Tamandua tetradactyla: one gene and its partner. The protein of the gene in region 1 interacts with the protein of each later gene in a biochemical or structural test. Links are inferred from orthologs where the notes say so. Each region holds a gene or a part of one and is shown in the gene's direction. Other genes may lie near its edges.

Region 1 (9,838 bases):
GTCCTTGGAGATACTGGCAACTCTGGATTTCAGGACTTATCTGGTCTAGGAACCATTTGAAGGTTTTAGGTTTCTGGAAAGTAAACATAGTGCATGCAACTTCTGTAGGATCTCAGACAGAGCCCTGGGTGTTCTTTAGGGTTAACAGGAATGATGTTGGTTGGTGTTTGGCAAACTGAAACAATTAGCAATATCTAGCTGAAGCTCACATAAGAGTAACCTCCAGAATAGCCTCTTGACTCTATTTGAACTCTTTTAGCCACTGATATCTTATTTCATTACATTTCTTTTCTCCCTTTTGGTCAGAACAGCATTGTTGATTCCAGGACCAGGGCCAAGCTCATCCTGGGAGGCATGTCTCATGTTGCAAGGGAGACTCACAACTCCTGAATACCAGGTCCCACATAGAGCAGAGAGTAATGATTTTACTTGCAGAGTTGGTCAAGAGAGAGAGAGAGGTCACACCTGAGCAACAAAAGAGGTTCTCTGGAAGTAACTTTTAGACATAATTTTAGGTAGGCTTAGCTTTTCCGCTACAGAAATAACTTTCATAAGAGCAAGTCTCAAGATCCACGACTTGGTCCATTAACTTAGGAGTCCTTAGTGTTTGAGAGTACCAGGGGTCTACCAATTAGGAAAGCTTAATAGCTTCATATCGTTTCTTCAGTCCTTGAAGGGACTTTGCCTATACTTTTTAATTATCTGCCCAATTATACTCTGGGATGTATCTGGGTATTGCATTAAGCTATACAGAATTGCAAGCCCTCACTTCCATTCTGGGCTCCATGTGTTTGGGTTGTTTAAATGAACTATCCAGGAAGGTTGAGTTAGACTGTACACTACAGAAGATTTAGGTTTTGGACAAAATAAAGATCTCTTCCTTTAGTCTCATATAGTAGGTGATGTTCTAAAATTCAGACACTGTCATTCTTCACCCTGTATTCTGATTCATCTTAGTCCCAATCAGATCAGTTTTGTTTTTATCTTTATTTGAAGACTGATCTCTTTTTTGCTTCTTGAACAGTTACTGTATGTAGGAATGCTGACTTTCAGAGCTGCAGAGCTCCAACTCTGAGTCTTATTATTTTTTAAAAAACAAAAATAAGTGTTCGAGAGGATGCAAACAAATTGAACCTCTAGTGTATTGTTGGTGGGAATATAAAATGGTGCAACCACTGTGGAAGGCAACATGATGGTTCCTCAGAAAGTTAAATATAGACTTATCATATGACCTGGATATTCCACATACAGGTATATACCCAGAGGAAATGAAGAGTCTCAAACAGATAACTGTACACCAATGCTTGCAGCAGAACAATCCCCTATAGCAAAGAAGTGGATACAACCTAAGTGTCCATCAATAAACGAATGGATAAATAGTAATATAAAAGCACAATGGAATATTATCTGATCATAAGAAAGAGTGAAGTATGAAACCTGCAGCAACATGGAAGAACCTTGAAAACATTGTGCTCAGTGAAATAAGCAAGACATATATGTACAAATATTGTATGACATCACTTATAAGGGATGACTATAAACAGTAAATTTGCAGGCATAAACAGTAGATTAGAGGTTACCAGCGCATTGGGGCAGGCAGGTAGGGAGGCAGAGAGAGAGAGACAGAGAAAGAATATGAGAGAGTGAGTTTATCCACAGATAAACCACAGCTCCTTGAAGTTAAGGACTATATGCATGTATGTGTAACAGGAACAGTTTTTCATACACAATGCCGTACTTTGAATGCAGGGGCAGGGGAGGGGGGATAATATACATGTTTTCAAAGCAGTTTTATTGAGCTCTATTCATGTACCATACAATCTATCCAAAGTATACAATCAGTGGCTTTCAGTGTAATCACAGAGCTGTGCATTCATCACCACAATCAATTTTAGAACATTTTCAATACTCCAAAAAGAAAACCTGTGAAATATCCCCAGTTGTCTCATGGTCTCTTCTAAATGCCAGACATTAAAAACACAAATAATGCTTTTAATATTTCCCAGTCCGATAAAATTCAGTGATTCACAGAAATGTAGTCTTCTATTTATTTCTATGTTAAAGCCTTACATCATCTCAAAAGAAATATAAATAAAAATAAAACAAAGGTCAGCAATGTCCAATCAGTGAATTTGATATCACTGCCTATCCAGAGTTTTATATTTGAAAACTAAATTGTGTACAATATATACAGCTTTAAAAATTAAGAAAACTTTTGGTATCTGATATTACATAAAATTTATATTAGAAATAGTTATGTTCATTGATTCATTTCAAGCATGAAGCCCACCAACATAAAAATTTCCAGTAAGAAAAAATGTCCCATTGAAAATATCAAGAAGGTTGTAGTGGTAACCTGAGTAGGATAAACATATAAGGATGCCATTTGCTAAAAGGAAAGGGTTGCAGGTATTCTGTCTTTACTTTCATTTTATATAGCTCTGGTCAATTTCACAGCCACAACCAGTACTGAACAAGGAAATTGGAAACTGCAGAATCGATTTGCAGAAGTGCAGTTCTATTTTCTTTTATATCTTCTTCATCAGAGTCGCTATCATTCTTGTGTAGTATGGTGTTATCATCGACAGCAGCCAGGGTAGAGCTGATAATTGCTGAATGTCATTCTCTTTCAGTGGAAGCAGAAAAAAACAAGGTGACTCTGAGCAATGTTTTCCAAATTTGCTCCTTTAGCAGTCCTTCATCTTTGCCAGAATTTAAATGTAAAGACTTTTCTGTTCTTAGAGACAACCACAATTATAACAGTCTTCTTTGGTTTGGGTTCTTAGGTAAAAAGTGTTAAAACAATAAAGCTCCAAATGTCTTATTTGAGCTAAATATAGATTCTTCAATATTCTGGTTTCCCTTTTAATTTTCAACAAAGGAGATTTTACTTTAACTTATTAATGAGAAAGTTGTTTCAAAGGCCTTAATACATTAAGATAAAAATTGTTTTACTTTTACGGCTGCCTTTCCAGATTTGCAGAAGGCTCTTATTAAATTTAAAATTATAGCTATTCATATAAAAAGCTTTAGCCTTTAGCTATTCAGTACCAACCCTGAAACAGATTCCCCTTTGTATTCTTAAAGATCATTGACAACAAATAGTTATGTGACAATTGGCTCAATTTTGAGATCCTCCTACTTCTTCTATGGTTTTTAAAAAATGCATTTCTAATGATGATGAAATCTTTACTATGTCACTACATCTGCTTAGAAGAATGGAGTCTTTTCAGTGTCATATAAATGGCAACACTGTAATTATAAATTTTCATTTTTTTTCTATTTAGATTTAGCCTGGCTTTTGTTCCTTGTATTCTGCAACCAGCTCCACCCCCCCCATATAGAAATATTTGTAGGTCAAAGAATCAGAAAATTTCCTTTTAACTATTCAAACAATATTACCAAGACTGTTTCTTAGTTAGGAGAGAATGGAATGAAAATCAGGTTTTATGCCTAAATTTAAGTCCTAATAGATAGGTGGCTATGAAACAAAAACAAAATGCAAACAAATACAAAAACCCTATTTTAACAGGCTCAATAAAGTTGCCAGATAAAATACAAAACACCCAATTAAACTTGAAGTTCAGATAAACAGCAAATATTTTAGTTTAAGTATGTACCAAATGTAACATGCCCTTTATTTTTATTTGCTAAATTTGGCAACCCTAAGGATTGATGCCATTTTTTTTGTTAATAGCATCAATATTGTGAGTGAAAACCCCATTATATTTTCATAAACTATAAAGCAACAACGTTAGGATCATAAAGAAATGGAAAATGAAAGTCATGAGTAACAAAAGTTACATTGATTTTATCCACGCAGGACTGTGTAGACAGGGTTTTCATAAAGAAGGACAAGTGCACATTGATGTCCACATACCCTAGACCCATTTCTTGTTAACTTCCATGGGATTATAGTACTTCAAGTTCTCAATTTTTCAGCAGGCCTAGGAACAGAACTGAATTGTTTCCCATCATTTTCTTTCTGTGTCACTCTGTTTCTCAAACACAGTTTAAACTTCAAGATCCTTCATTAAGAAGCTCAAGCGGTAGAACTTTTCAATGAAAGAAAAGTTGTGGGCATGAGCTAACTATATCTCTATTAAATATTCTTTCCCATTCATTGATAACAATTCTTCCTTACATTCTGAGGTCTAGAAATAGCACTCCCGATGTTAGCTGATTTGCACCTTACATTTATTTTTTTAAGTATAAATTAGCTGTAATGTGCCGGGCATTTTGTTAAATGCTAGAGGCACAAGTTTCTACACAAATCAAAACATGTCGAATTTCTGTCCTCTTGCAAAAGGCTTGCAGCCCATGAGACAGAGTAGGCATTCTTATTCACACGTTACAGGTGAGGGATCTAAGTACTCAGGAGTTGAAAGGTCTTATCTAAGCCCCACATATACTAAGTAAAAAAACCAAAGCTTCAATAAACTCTCTGGCTCGAGGCTCAGTGTATTCCAATATTCTTTAAAGGAAATCCCAGACTACTAAGTATTTGAAATCCTCTATTTTCCGGGACCAAAAAGGAAGGCATTCTGAATCCCTCTATAATGTTCGCGTCTCTTAAATATGGAACAGGTGTCCTCTGGGTGTGCGAGAAAAGCAAGGCATGAGGGGGAGTTAAAGATCCTGAGCATCCGTTGTAACCGAACCAAGTTAATCTGGAAACCGAAGCACACGGCCAAGGCGATGCTATTTAGTTGAGTGTCACAGGTGACTCATCGGGGATGGCTTGCTCTTGGGCCTCCTGATATTTTTCTTCAGGGTGGGGTATCGGATTTCCTTCGCAATTTTGGACAGCAGTCCCCTTGTCCATTTCCAATTTTTTTCTGGTTTCATAGCTCTCATGCATTGCACGCTTTCGTATCGGAAGCTAGTAACTGGCAGGACGTTCGGGGAATGAATAAGGTAAAAAGTGAGCCAAGGGCCAGGAGAGAGGCCTAAAACCGGAAAATTTGTACTTGGAGAGCTTCCCCTACCCCAGCCCCTCAGAATGACAGGTCTCTTCACCCAGAAGACTACCTCTCCCGGCAGGAACCGCGCGCTCCCTGGACACAGGCTGGCACACTCCCAGCTCGCCACCTCCGCCCGCACCAGCCAATAGAAATCCCCGACTTCGGCCTCCCTCCGAAAGCGACCACGCGGGAGCGAGGGCAATGAAACTACATTTCCCGACATACACTTGCGCGTATCATGACCAATCGGTGTGGGGAATTCGGAGCCTGGGGGCGGAGCTGGTTGCATAGACCACCCTATTGGCTAGAGTGAGCTTAGAAGAGCCGGAACCCGGGAGAGAGGGAAGAGAAATGACATTTCCTCTTTAAATAGCTGGATCCCGGGCCCCGTCGAGAAATGGCCGCGTCGGCAGGTGGGTCTTGTGGCGGCTAGGGAGGTGTGGGGGTAGGTGGGCCGGGGCAGCCACAAGCTGCGCGCTGAGGAGCCGGCGGCGGCGACAAGGAGCCCGCTGCCAGAGATGGATGGAGAGGTGGAGGGGGCTGAGGGGAGGGAGGATGAAGGGCGTGGAGGGCGTGCTCAGTCCGGCTGGGCAGAGATGGGGAGACCGGGTATCCGCCGCCGCGCAGACCTGGTCGCGAGGCGGTTGGAGCGGCACCGGCGGACGCCGTCCGTCGAACCTCCCTCGTGAGGCTTCTGCCGTTGGCTCCCAGCTGGAACGTCCCGGCTTTCGGCTGTGTCCGCAGACACCTCGCTTGTTCTGCCAACACTGTGTCTCTGCGAGCGCCGAGCGCCGGACTCGCCGAGCTCCGGGAGGAGCAGGCTGCCCTTTGAACTTGCCCGGCAGCTCGCTTTCTGCTCTTTCTCAGTCTCTCAGGTCCTACCTCGTGATTGCACGAGGTGGTGTGTATATACGTAAATGCATTTTTGTAGGGGGGAGAAAAACAAGCAAAGAGACAAAAACCCCTATGACGCCGTAACTGGCTCGGAACTTCTTGTGGTTGTACAATTTTTCTCCTCCTAGATTTAAGTAAGTCTTCCCCAACAACGAATGGGATTCCATCTTCAGACCCAGCCTACGAAGCTATGGACCCCTTCCATGCTTGCAGTATTCTTAAGCAACTCAAAACAATGTACGATGAAGGACAGTTGACAGACATTGTAGTGGAAGTGGATCACGGGAAAACATTTTCCTGTCATAGAAACGTTCTTGCTGCAATCAGCCCCTACTTCAGGTATGATGATGGTAGAAACTTCTGTTGGTATTAGCTCCGAGCTCCCTTTCTCCCTCAGTACCGTCCTCTTGATTATTATGCTGAAGCAACAATGAAATGAAATCACTGAGTTTGTTTCCTGAAGAGTAAGTAGATAACACGCTCTACTTTTTGCAACATAGCCCTTGTTTTTGACACGAGGGATTCTTCTAGAATTCAGATGGTTGCTTTTTTTAAGTTGGGGTACCTGTGTTTTGTTTTTGTTTGAAGTAAATGACCAGAAAATCCAGAATTGCGCTGCCCAATATGGCGGCCACTAGCCCCATGTGGCTGTTTACACTGAAATTATTTAAAATTAAATAAAACTTAAAATGCAGTGTCTCTACACTAGGCATATATCAAGTGCTCAATGGTGGTTGCCGTTTTGGGCAGTGCAGATAAAGACCATTTCCATCATTCAGCGTTCTAATGCGTTCTAATGGACAGTACAATCTAGTTTGTTCCAAAAGTTACCCCTTATGTCTATTTCTTTAGGGCATATAACTCTTAGAGTTCAAAACATGAGAGCCTGTTCCTTTAAAAACAAAATCACTAGTCAATATATTGTTTCAATGCCTTGGTGGTAAAAGCAGTGGAATAAAAATGAATGAACTATTGTTTCTGTTTGCCCTAGGCCCCAGACTAGTGATTATTTCCAATATTTTCAGTATTTTTAAGCCAACTTGTCATTTCATATTTGTGTTTGCGTATCATAAAACTTGGCAATGTAAAATATCAAAACTTGGGTCTTCAGAATAATTTCATACACTAGGAAAAAGATTAGCAGTAACGTCAGTTTCCTGTTTGAATTTAAGTTCTTTTCCTGTTTTCAAGTGCTTATTTTTTTTAACTGTTCCACTATTACAAAGTAATGCATGAATGACTAATAAAATCATCTTCTTCACCACACCCTAAATATGGTTTCCATTTTGAAGGTGCTTACCATGTAGGGCATGTGGCAGTGTAGTGTTTTCCACTGGAGTTTCTAGTTCCTCTTTCTCAGAATACTAGGTTAAATATAGTCACTTCAGTCTGCTTGTGATGTAACCATTTAGTCTTGCCTGGTGTAAGTCATTGGATCATTAACTATCACAAGACAGTACACTGGAAAGAACAAAGGTGAAATGCATACCCAGAAGGTATGAATTTGGCCTGGTAATGAAGCTAATGGTGAGATTTCACTTATCCAAGCAATCAGTTAGAGATGGTTAGATTGTTTATGTGTATAAATATCTGCCATGTTAACTATTTATCAATCCCTGGGCTAAACTTGCTTTACATGCATTGCCTTATATGATCTTTATAATCCTATCTCTGCATAGTTGTTATCTCCCTGAGACTCAGGGAGGTAAAGTGACCTGCCTAAATCATCTGTTTAACAAGTAAGTGGCAGAGGAAGGATTTGATTGCAGAGCTAGCGTTCTTAGTCTGGGTGTCTAAGAAACGAGTGGGTAAAGTAGATTCTTTTTAAAGTTGCCTTTGAAAGGTTTTTATTGTATATTTGATTTGAATAGTACAAATATAAAAAAATTTTTTTTTGAAAATTCTGACACTTCAAATTTGAAAGTTCAAAGTGAAAATGTCTATCTTATTGAAATTTTATACTTTGGATTATATTACATAAATGTCATACTTTGTCAGTTTTAAGACTTTGACAAATCTTTTAAAAGAAGTATGCTACAATATACATTTTTAATTTTCAGGAAGGTAAGAAAATGCTTAAAAAATTTACTGAACACAGGATATGTGAATTCAAACTAAGATATTTGATTAGAAAATTTAGGATTATGTTCTTATCTCTTGCTACAGTATTTTTTTTTAACAGAGTAAATTTCTTGGCACCAGTGCTTCTCTTTATTGAGATATAGAAAGTCATACTTAATAATTTCTAAGTCTTGCATCACTGGTGGAAGAATTAGAATAGCTGGAAATTTGGCATGACTATTTTGTGATTCTAGTGACTTGTCAAAATTAAAATTTGTATGAGTTATTATAACTTGTTGCTACTTGGGATTTTGTGTGAAGTAGTACTTCCACTTCATATACAGTGTACGTAAGTAATTAATTGAACAGAGGAGCAATTATCAAGTGTCAGACTCCTCCAGTGTGTGACTAGCTTATTCAAATCAGTAGTAGTTCCCATGATAAAGGGATCTGTGGTAAAGTTATCCTTTGGGAGTTAATCTCTGCCTAATGAAGGGCTTTATTTTTCTTTTTTAATTGGTAGCTGGATGGTTTCTTCTTTGGGCACCTGAATTGAAAACCAGCTTTTACATAGGAACACCTAGTTTTTAGCCTTCTACATGGAACGGCTAGTTTTTTAGCCATCAAAAAATCTTGTGCAGTATTAAACTTGAAAGTACATTGTAGAAGGAAAAATAGGATTCAAAGATGGTTAACACAGGCCAAGCTGGGTCTTTGTACCCTTATGTACCTCAAATATTTCTTATACTGCATTATGAAATTAATTTCATATAATTACTATAGAAATTAATTTGGAAATCTTCCCATTTAGTATATATTTTTTATCACATAGCACTTAAAAATAAAATAGTAGGGTCTGGATCTGAACTGTATCACCAATGTTAGGTAAATTTCTTCAAAAAACATTTTAAAAGCATCTGGACCTTGAAAGCAACAATAAATAGCATAGGGGGGTATATGGGAACTCACTCAGTAATTTCTGTGCAAATTTAAATAGTACACAGCCCTTTCCTCAGAAGTCTTATAAGAGAGCTTTTTGACTTGGTTTTTATATTTAATTTTAACAGCAGCCTAGAAAGAAACCTTAAAGGAGCTACTAAAAAGAAAAAAGCACATGATGTAGGTAAATGATTCTTAAATAAAGAGCCAGTTATTGGTTACTTAAATATTTTGTCCAAGAAAGCCCTATAAATGTACTGCTATTTTAATTAGAAAAGAGTTTGGTCTCAAAGTAAAATTTTGGATTTTAAAAACTATTATCCTCCAAGAATCACACTAACTCTTAGTCTTTTTAGAAGAAGGTATTCTGTTAACTCTACCGTAATCTTTATCTTTAGTCCAGTTATAAATGGGTAAAATATGTTAACTTTCAGTAAATTAAATATATCATTTTAAACAGGGTTTCAAAATATCCAAGTGTAAGTGAGGTTATGTTCTGTATATTCCTTATAAGATTAAGGAAGCATTGAAAAGTTAATAGCTTTAAAAAAGAGTAGGTGGAGAAAATGCATTTTTGATGAGCATCTTAACTTTCCAAGATGAAATCTTTTAAAGATATATTTTGGGCAGATGTAGTAATTTCCACTGGGACATGAAAAATTCTACCAGTCTTTCTGTATGCTAGTGTATCACATTGACATCCTATAGATATTCTTATATTTTCTTACTAGCCTAGACCATTTGAGAGCTCATTTCCCTGAGGCCGCTAGACCAGAAACCTGGATAGGGACCCCAGGTAAAATAAGATGTCCTGAAATAAGCCATGTCACCTTTTGGTTTGTTTTAGTTAAGTATAGTCCCCTTTTCCAGAGTTGGCACAGAGTGGACTTGCCCTATGAGTAGAGATTTTGAGATTAGTTAGACTAAATCCTTCTAGATTAATTTTATCCCTGTTCACAATATCAGGAAAAACATTAGGA
Region 2 (10,050 bases), on another chromosome or scaffold:
TCTGTGAAATAACAGGTTTGATGTGCTAGCTATTTTTTGTCTAATATACACTAAAATAAATACACAATGATTTCAGTCTTAAAATGTCCATCTATTCATCTCCTGAAATCACTTCGTGCATCACCAGAAAGAATGCCCCACACTTTCAGAAACAGTGAACTACTCCAGCCCTCCCATTTTACAGAAAAACTGAGGCCCAGGAAAGGGCAAGACTTGTCAGAAGTCAGACTGCTGGGGTTAAAGCCCATATTCTCATAGGCACCTGTACGGGAGAAGGAGGGGTGCACACCCAAGGACCTCTGGCAGGTCCAGGCCCCTTGGAGTCCTTGACCTTTTGAGAGCCCTTCCATTGGTCGTGCGCTGCCCTCTCCTGGCAGGTCCTTCTGTGATGCATGTCCACCTGGAAGGAGTTGCCGGAAGAGGGGGCCCTTATTGCAGATCAGAGATGACTCAGCTGGAGGCAATCAGGGAAGGCAGCCTTGAAGAGGCGGCATTTTCACTTGGCTTTGAAAGATGAATAGAAAACAATCAAACTTCAAAGAGGAAAAATGCAGTTCTGTTCAAATGGCACGAAAGGGAGTGAGATGTTCCCAGGACAGCGAGTACTCACATTTGGTTGCCAGTCCAGGAAACAGACTGGCTGCCCCAGGCCTTGAGGCTGATAACCATTTCACAGGCCTCCTAGGGTAGGGTGCGAGTTAAACTGGTGAGTGTTTTTTAGAGCCACTCATTTAAGCCTTCTGTAAATGTGAGTTGCTACTATTACTCAAAAGGGTGTCTAAAGAAATGTTCTGATACGTAATAAAACATAAAAAAGTGACTTGCAGAGTTGTATGTTTTGGATGAACTCTCTTTTGTTAAAAAAAAAAAGAAGGGAGAGAGAGAAGAAGAAATGAAAAGGGTAAGGGCAGGGAAGGACTAAACCCTTGTGGGGGCAGAGGGCCAAGGATGTGGGGAGTCTAACAGCAGGCAGCTGAAATAGGATGAGGAGGGGCCCAGGTGGGGTTGGGAGGACTGGGAATGGACAAGAGGGAGGGAAAGATGACCGGCTTTGTCTATGAATCTCTGCATTGTTTAATTTGTTATTTCAGGTGCGTATACTTGTGTACACTTTTAAAAATTCCGGTGAGATTGAGGAATGAAAAAAGAGAGATACTATCATCCCATGAGAGGAAAGAAAGCCGTGGGAAGCCTATTGACCAAAGTGACTCAGCCAAGAGAAAACAGGCTCTTACACCAGATACAGTGGACTATCTTTGAGTCCTGGGGGCAAGGGCAGTCTTCCCACACGAGACCCTCTCTTGAGTGTCCCAATGCTGGAGGGGTCCTTGACTGACCCCTTCCTTTGACAGTAGGAAATGCTAAGATGAGCAAGAGCCAGAGACTGACCCAAGGCCACCCAGCAGAACCAGGCCCAATGCACTTTCCCAGATCCCGGCCTAGTGGTCTCTCCCCCATGGAACACCATCTCCTACTTCCGGGCAGGATACATCCCTGCTGGAAGGAGAAGAGGACAATGCCCCACTTGTTTAGCTCCCTTTCCCTTCTGCCAGCCTTCCTGCACTAACGTTTCCCTCACTGGGCCCTGCACGGGAATGCAGGATGACTGAGGCACGCTGCTTGCCCGTGAGGTGCTCACAGTCAAGTGGTCTGGAAGTTTCTGGCTTGTATGGCTAACAAAGACTTCTTTTCCTAAATGCAAGAGAAATGCTCTGAGGCTTTTTTTTTTTTAATGTACTGTTTTGTTTGCTGTTGTCTTAATTGTTGCCATGTTATATTTTATCAGTTTAATGTTTTAATTTTGTGCTTGGGCCCCGAGGCAATTCAGTGAAGGGTATGATTTGGAAAATCAAGGAGATAAAGAAATTGTCCGCATAAGATGCAGCCTCCCAGGAGCCGGGGACAAAGCGTAAGTGCTGAGAACGAATTTTATTAGGAAGAAAACAAAAGCAAACAACCTGTTACCAGACAGAAGGTAATAGACCATCCCGTTTTTCATTTTTTTTTGCTTTTGCTTTTGCTTTTAAATTAATACCAGTTCTCCATTTCTACCAAGGTCAGCCAAGGACACATGACCCAGTTCCTTCTCCTTTTCCAGAGGCCTTCCATGGTCCTGCTTCCAGGGCTATGCTCACAGTGAGTGCCCTGCCTGTTCTGTCCCCCTCTCTTCTGTCTATCACAGTCCAGTCATTCATGCAGCCAATATTTACTGAGCAATTTCTGCGTGCAGGCACTGTGCTAGGGGCTGGAGATAATGCAGCCAACAAGACAGCCATGAGTCTGCCTTCAGGGAGCTTACATTCTACTAAGGCAGGCATTCTCAACGGGGAGGTAAAAACTGGTTCTTGGGGGGGTGTGTGAAAAAAAACCTTAGCTATTACAATAGTTTGTATGCTCTATGACCCCCTTTACCATCTCTGTGAGTAGCTCGTCCAGCCACCCAAGCAGAAAGCTGGGTGTCATCACTAATTCAAGCTACAAGCTGTCTCTGTTCTCCTGAACCAGATTTCCGGTTCTGTACCTCCTAGGGGTTCCTCGGAGGCCTTCATGGTGTCCCTGAAAATTGACCCATCTGCCTTCATTTCACTTCCTACCCAGACTAGATTCCAGAACCCAGCGATTTGGCATTTCTTTTAGTATCTCTCTAGAGCCCTATGTCTCTCTCCCCACCCATCAGGGCCTGGATAAACCCCACTGAGTTCCTTCCACCTGCCTGTGTCTGGGCAGCTGCGCCCTGCTGGAGAAAATGGCTCAGCAGGACAGGACAAGCACACATAAATTAATGACCACCACTCTCAACTGGGTTGTCAACACTCTCAGGGACTTTTGTGTGCAAGCTTCTCCTCAACTATCTGAATGATCATTCTTCTTCCTTCAAACTCCTCACCACCTCTTCTTCATTCTCAGCAGAAGACCTTGCCTCCCACTTTGCAGAAAAAAATAGATGCTCAAGATGAAATCTCCCTTAGCATCCCACCACAAACCTACATCTACATCTGCACCCATCCTCTCTTTGTTCCCTCTTTTGGTTCTAGAGAATACATCCCTCCTCCTCTCCGATCCAGCCCCTCCACCTACACGCCTGATTCCATCCCCTGTTACTTGCTCATGAACATTATATTTGATGATTATTTCCTCTATTCCTTACAGTCCTAATTAATCCCTCCCCCCTTGATCTTCTATCAGCCTTTAAACAAACTCGTCTTAAAGCACAATGTCCCCTCCCCCAACACACACATTGACCATAACACCTTGCTCTCACTTCTATTCACACAAAACTTCCCAAAAGACCCGCTGTCTCTCTCACCTCTCCTTCACCCATCAGACTGGCCACTGCCATGTGACTCTATCCAATCACTCTAGAAATCTCATTCCCTGATGTCACCAACAATCTCCATGCTCGACATTAAAATGAGACCCTTTTTCATGCTTATCCTGTTTGCCCTCTCTGAGCAGTCTCACTGTTGTCTCGTCCCACTTTTCTGAAACTCTTTCCTCCTCTTCCTTCTATAAGCCCACTCTCCTGGGTTTTCTCCCACTTCTCTAGCTGCTCCTTTTCTATCTTTGCAGGCATAACTTCCTTTTCACTGCCCTGCACGTTGCCTCAAAGCTCCATCCTGGACCACCTTCTCTCCTCTCTCTATGTTCTTCAACTTGGGCCATCTTGTCCTCATCCACAGACTCAATTATCATCTCTCTGTTGACAATTTCTCATATTCATATCTAGTCCAGATCTCTATGCTGAGTCCAAACTCATGTTTCCAAGTGCCTAATCAACATCTGCACTTGGTATCTCAAAGGCATTTCAAGCTCAACATGTCTAAAGTAGAACTTAACTTCTCACCTCCATCTCTACTACCTCCCCTCCTCATTCAACCCTCCCACTACAAGCCCCTTCCATTTTTCCTATATTAGTGAAAGTTACAGTCCACGTATTTGCACAGACAACACAGAGTCCATCCTAACATCACCTTTCCCTCACTCTCCCATTCCAGCCCATCTCTATGATTATTTTATTTCTTGAATAACTCCAGGAATCTTCTATCATCCTCTAACTCCACTACCACTCCCCTACTGCAGCCACTATTATACACTCCCCCTGGATGCCTGACTGTAACCCTAACCCCAACAGGTCTCACATCTACTCACACACCCACTACTCCCCTCTCCATGGACATTCACACTGGTCACATTAAAACTCAAATTCCATCCTAACCTTCTTTGGCTTATACCATCAATGGCCTCCAATAGCTGTTTGGATGAAGAGAAACATCCTTGATGTGGAATCTGTCCTCTGCCACCTTCTGCATTCCGCAAGCCCTGTGCTTTCCCTCTGGGTCCTTTTCCAAAGGCTTACCTTTCATTCTCTCTCAGCAGTACTTTTTGCCTCAGGCCCTTTGCACAGGTTCTTCCCTCTGTCCGAGATTCTTCTCCCACTTCCCCTATCCTCTAGACATAGTACAGATTTCTTCACTAATATCATGTCCTCAGGGTATGCTTCTCTAACCCCCAAGCATTCTTGTTGAATGCTTTCACAATAATAACACATACATACACAGCACTTTTTTTGTTGTTGTTAGGAACTCTTCTAAGCATTTCTGCTTAGAACTCATTTACTCCTCACAAGTCAACAGCGTATCTGACTGATTATTTGTTTAGTGTGTGTCTCCCCCATTAACCTGTAAGCTCTATAGGCATAGAGAACTTTTTTATCCACAATAGTAGGGGGTCCACAAAAATTTGCTAACTGATTGACTGTAGATTAGTTTCCTCCCTATTCCTTACATACCACATCCAATCAACCATCTTGTCCTGTCCGTGTTTCTTCCTGAAGCAGAGGTTCCTAATCCTAGAAGACATAGGTATGTGCCTATTTGAGTGCTGAAATAGGTGGAAAATGTCATGTATCTGTACAGATTCAAAATTTTCTAGAGCAAGGGCTGGGTAGTTCACGCTTCCATAGAATTCTCAACGGGACCCATGAGATTAAGAACAAATGACTTAACCCCAGGCTAGCTCATCCTTCCCCTGCCAAACTCCCTTGAACTATAGCAGTGTCACATGTTGTTTTATACCTCACAAATCCATCCTCCATGCTTTGTTCAGAGCGATATTTTTTAAAAAACAAACCATGTCACTCTCCTGCATAAAACTAGCCAAACAAGGGTCCATTGTCCTTGGAGCAGCGTTCTGCCTCTACATGGGGACCTTACGGACCTTTCTCGAGCCTTACGTGTCCTCACTCTGTCCTTCTTCCCCCCAGTACAGGCCAGCAGCATAACAATGTTTCCCCAGTCTACACCAGGATTGTAGGCACTCATGTGATGCCTTCAGTGTGGGGTGTCAGATCTCTCCTCTGCATTTATAAATCTGTGTTCTATCTTTAATCTGTGTCTCTTTAGGGTTAAGCGCCCCTCCTCCCTACTCCCATACGCTGCATACAAAAGGAATTTAACTATAGTTGTTTGGATATCGACTGCTTGTCTCTCCCTTGTGAGCGTTCAGGGCAGCCGCTACTTCTTACTCGTCATTTTATCCCCCCTGCTGAACCCGGTGCTAACCCAAGTTACCTTGTTCAATTTGTTCAATCAGTGAATGAATGAACTAATGACAAGTAGTGCTTAGTTCAAAAGTCCTGAAAAATGCGTAAAATGAATAAAGGCATGGACAACAGGAAGTTCGGCTCTAGGAGGAAATGCCTACTAGTCGAACTCAGAGATGACTAAACCTCGATCACAGCGTTCGGAAAACAGAAGACAAGTTCTTTCAAGTAGCGACTCAAAGGGATTCCGCGGCGGGAGACACTCATAGGATGGCCGTGCAGGAGGCGGGGCTAGTTCAATCCCCGCCCTCCCCTCCTATGGGAGGTCTTATTGCCCTCTGAGTCTCCGCCCCCTTCACCCGCTGGGGTGGGGACAGCCACGCAAAGTTAAAAAGACTACATTTCCCGGCGCGCCAAGGGACCCGGACGAAGGAGGGGCCGGAAGTGGGACGCGCGAGGTCTAAGGGCACGAGGGAAGTGGCGGGCGGGGACTTGGGGGGGGCGTGCAGGTGAGCCGACTGGCCGGGGGTCGTGGGCATGGCCGAAGCCAGAAAGCGGCGGGAGCTGCTTCCCTTGATCTACCAGCATCTGCTGCACGCGGGCTATGTGCGCGCGGCGCGGGAAGTGAAGGAGCAGAGTGGGCAGGTGAGCGTGCGAGGGCCGCGTGCTAGATCCGGAGAGCAGCGGCCCACACCCCCTCCCCGGACTGCCGGGCGGGCCCCAGGAGCTGGATTCCGCCGGGCTCGAGGTGGTGGGCCGGGGCGCCGAAGGAGCCGCAGCCTCTGCCTATCCTGTGGTTCCCAATCCCTCTGGGCCTTAGTTTCCCCATCATTGTAGTGGGCGGGCCAAGACATGTGATAGGATTCCCTGGGCTTTTGTAATTCCCGCGCCCCTCACCTCCACCCCCTTCCTGGGAGCGGCAGTTTAAAGTTTCTTTAGTCTGCCCCTCACCTCCACCCCCTTCCTGGGAGCGGCAGTTTAAAGTTTCTTTAGTCTCTGGCCACGTGGTTCGGCGCTTCCCACCCCCACCCCACCCCACCCCACCCCCGCCCCGGGCCGAGTAGGTTGTGATGGGTCTGAGGGGCGACCAGCCTCCGGAGGAGCCAAGAAGGAGCCCTCGGCCTTTTACTGAATTGAAACTCAAGCCCCTAGCGATTCTTCTTTACTGAATTGGACAGCTTTGAGGTTAGAACTCGTGGGGGAGTCATTTCTTACATCATTCATTCATTTAATAACTGTTAATCTGGCTTCATGTTGCTGATGATAGAATGGTGAGGACGGCTCCCAGCCCACCTGGAGCTTGCAGTCTAGTAGGGAATACATAAACCAAAGTATTAAAAGTCTCTATAAATGTACTACATTAAGTGCTAAGAAGGAGAGCCATAGGGTGCTAAGATATGGTATGGCAAATTGTCCAAGTCACAAGGACTATCTGAAATTTGCTTCCATGAGGAAGTGACTGTCAAGATCCGAAGGAAGGGATGTGGATATTCTAGGAAGAGATGCAAATGCCCTGTGGTAGGAGGGAGCTTGTTTTGTAAGCACTGGTCTCCAGAAAATCCTCTGTGGCTGGGGATGAGGGCAATAGAGGTCCCTGTAGGGACAGGAAAGGGAGCAACGAGTTGGCATGAGTGGGTCCTGTGGTTACTTTCGTCCTTACCTAAGAGTAGTGGGAGGCAGTTGGAGGATTTTAAACTGGTGAGTGGTGGGAGTTAGGCAGGTTCCCTTTTGCTGAGGTGTAGAACTGATCCTAATGCTTGCTCTCAGGTCCTCCCGAACTGTCAAAGAGTGATGGGTCCTGGGGATGTTATTGATGTTTTTTCCAACCTTCCCTGAGCCATGGCTATGCCTCTGACTCCTGTTAGATCACTTAATAGCTAGGATGCAAGTCACCAGTGTCTATCTTCATTGGGGTATATACCCAGGCAAAAGTGTCCTGCCCTCATAGAAGGTACGTTCTATTAGATTGCACATGGTGTGTCAGGTGATGGTACATGCTAGCTATAAAAATAAAGCAGGCAAGGGAGATAAAGAATGTCAGGGGTACGACTGCAAATAAAGTAATCAGGGAAGCCAAACTGAGAAGGTGACCTTTGGGCAGAGACCTAAAGGAAATGAGGATGTACGTGACGCAGCTAGCAGTGACGAGAGCATGCTAGACAGAAGCAACAGCAAGATGCCAGTGGGAATGGGAGGTGGGGAAATTGGGGCAATGAGGAGGCCAGTGTGCCTGGGACAGAACAGAGTGAGGCTGACACTTGGTGTTCCCTGTGTTATGGAAGGAACCTGAAGTTTGAGGTGTAGAGATTAGCCCAGGGATACTCAGGGATTCCACCTCAAACCCAGCTCTGCCTGACTCCAGATGCTGACTCCAGATGCTGACTCCAGCTCTGCCTGACTCCCTTTTGGGGCCATTCTGCCCAGGTCTGTGAACCTCTGTCCTCCTCCCACATTGTTCACTCAGACTCCTTGGGGCTGAAACCCCAGGTTCTTGATATTAGCAGAGAGCATAGGGCCACTGGCCTTGGCACTGAAGGCTTGGATTCCACCCGGTTTCTTCCCCTACCACCAAGGCACTGACAACATTTGGGCACAGCTTCTTCCCAGCAGACAAGTGGACTGTGGTTGTGCCTCCTAGATACCTTGGGTGTCTGGATTATGGTTCATACTGCCTGAGAGAGATTGACCTGCCAGGCCTTTGAAGGCCCTTTGAAAGGTCAAAGTAGAAAAAGCCTCATCTCCTGGCCTCTGAGATGGAGAGTGTCTGGGAGTTGGGTGAATGCTAACCTGGAACATTGCAAAATTCAAAGGTATCTCTTACCAACATTTGTCTTAGAAGGTTTTAGCTGAAATTGCTTGTCCTGTTTGTCTCTGGAAGGTTTTGAATGGTGCTGACAGGGCTAACCAGGTATGTTTCCCAAAGCAAAAAGACCCCCTTTTTAACCAGCTATCCTTGCCGGTCATGAGGTTGGGGAGAGTTGGGCCCAGAGCAGGAGCTTCCTGTGCTGGGGGGTTAATTGCTGCTCTCTTTTTCTCTGCAGAAAATTTTCCTGGCTCAGCCTGTTACCCTTCTGGACATCTATACACACTGGCAACAGTGAGTCTGATGGTGCTAAAAGGGTGGAGCAGGGACATCCCAAGAAATTGGCTTAGAATAAGCCAAGAAATTTATCTGGTCTAAGATGTGTCCCCATTTCCCACTGGAACACCGTAGCTACCTCCAGGAAGCCAGGTCACATGTCTGGATATTTCTAGGTATAGGAAGGGACATTGAAAGCTGTGATCTTGTAAAGACAAAAACTCAGCAGTTTGTCATTTGTTCAGTCAACATACATTTATTGAGCGCTTACTGAATGCCAGGTCCTCCTGTTCTAATTATAAAGATATTGTGCTGAATGTAACAGACCTGAATGGCATTGTAATCAGGGAGGTGAGCATGAGTCAGAAAATGAAACAAATAAATGTTAAATTACAGTGGTAGTAAGGGTTACAAAAGAGAAGTACCCGGTGCCCAAACTACATAAACAGGTTAGCCTGCCCTCGTTTGGGAGTCCAGGGGCAACTTCCCTGAGGTGACATGTGACTTGAGAGCTGAAAGAAGTAGAGTGAACTAGGCAATCGGTGTAAACAGGCAGGAGTGTGTGCTTAGAACTTCCAATCCCCGTGCCTGGGGGACATACAGATGAGGTTGAGGGGTTGACAGGGCCCGCCCCTGCAAAGCCTGGTCTTCATGTGAAAAGAAGTAAGCAGCAAGAACCCTGGAAGGGTGAAGCAGGTGATGAGATCAGCTCATCACTCTGCTGCAGTTTGGAGAGCCCAGTCGGGGGCTGTGGAGATCATCTCAGCAAGACCTGACAGGACTTGAGGCAGGGATGACAGGAGGTGGAGAGGGTGGACAGTAGATTCCAGGAATATTGGGAGTTGAAACCAAGATCTCTGGATAGATTGGGGAAGACTAGTTTTAGAAAGATAGGTTTCAACTTTTAAATATAAACATTTGATCATCATTGCTGTCCAAAAATGAGTTATGCTGCAGTAGGAGTGGTAAGCTCCCCTATCATCGGAGGTGTGTAAGCAATGGCATGAATGGTGTGGAGGGAATTTGGGCCTCCAGTGGGCATCAAAAAACCTGCCAGCCCTCAGGTTCTTGGCTCTCCTCTGCTGCTAAGTCAAGCTCAGAGCCCAGGGCATGTACTTCCTCTTCCTCAGCCTTTCAACTTTCTCAGGTGTTTGGGTGTTATTCATAGCACTTCCTTCCCCAGAGCACAGCTTCAGTGAGCTATACCATACACCTTTCTGTGCCACTAACCCTTTCTATGGGGGAGAAGTACTGAGTAGGCCCAGAATCGCGTACCCACCAGAGGCAGCCTAGCCTAGTGGTTCCTGACAAAGTTCAAACCCAGCAGCTAGCAGGATGGCCTTAGGCAAGTTTCATGGCCTCTCTGAGTCTGTGTCTTCAGCTGCAGAATGAAGGCAGTGTCCATCCCAGCCAGAAATCACCAGGCATA

Evidence for each region.
Region 2: the proteins of KBTBD8 (region 1) and TCOF1 form a complex in vitro, tested with the Homo sapiens proteins (2 studies listed by BioGRID, with this or other methods). The link is inferred for Tamandua tetradactyla from reciprocal best matches to the Homo sapiens genes KBTBD8 and TCOF1.

What each region holds. Positions count from the first base shown.
Region 1 is NC_135341.1:17,349,688-17,359,525, reverse strand, and holds the start of KBTBD8 (kelch repeat and BTB domain-containing protein 8), read left to right. Parts: upstream 1-5,188; 5' UTR 5,189-5,361; coding exon 5,362-5,377; intron 5,378-5,986; coding exon 5,987-6,197; intron 6,198-9,838. UniProt on the Homo sapiens protein: Substrate-specific adapter of a BCR (BTB-CUL3-RBX1) E3 ubiquitin ligase complex that acts as a regulator of neural crest specification.
Region 2 is NC_135346.1:31,142,817-31,152,866, forward strand, and holds the start of TCOF1 (treacle protein), read left to right. Parts: upstream 1-6,022; 5' UTR 6,023-6,079; coding exon 6,080-6,187; intron 6,188-8,583; coding exon 8,584-8,639; intron 8,640-10,050.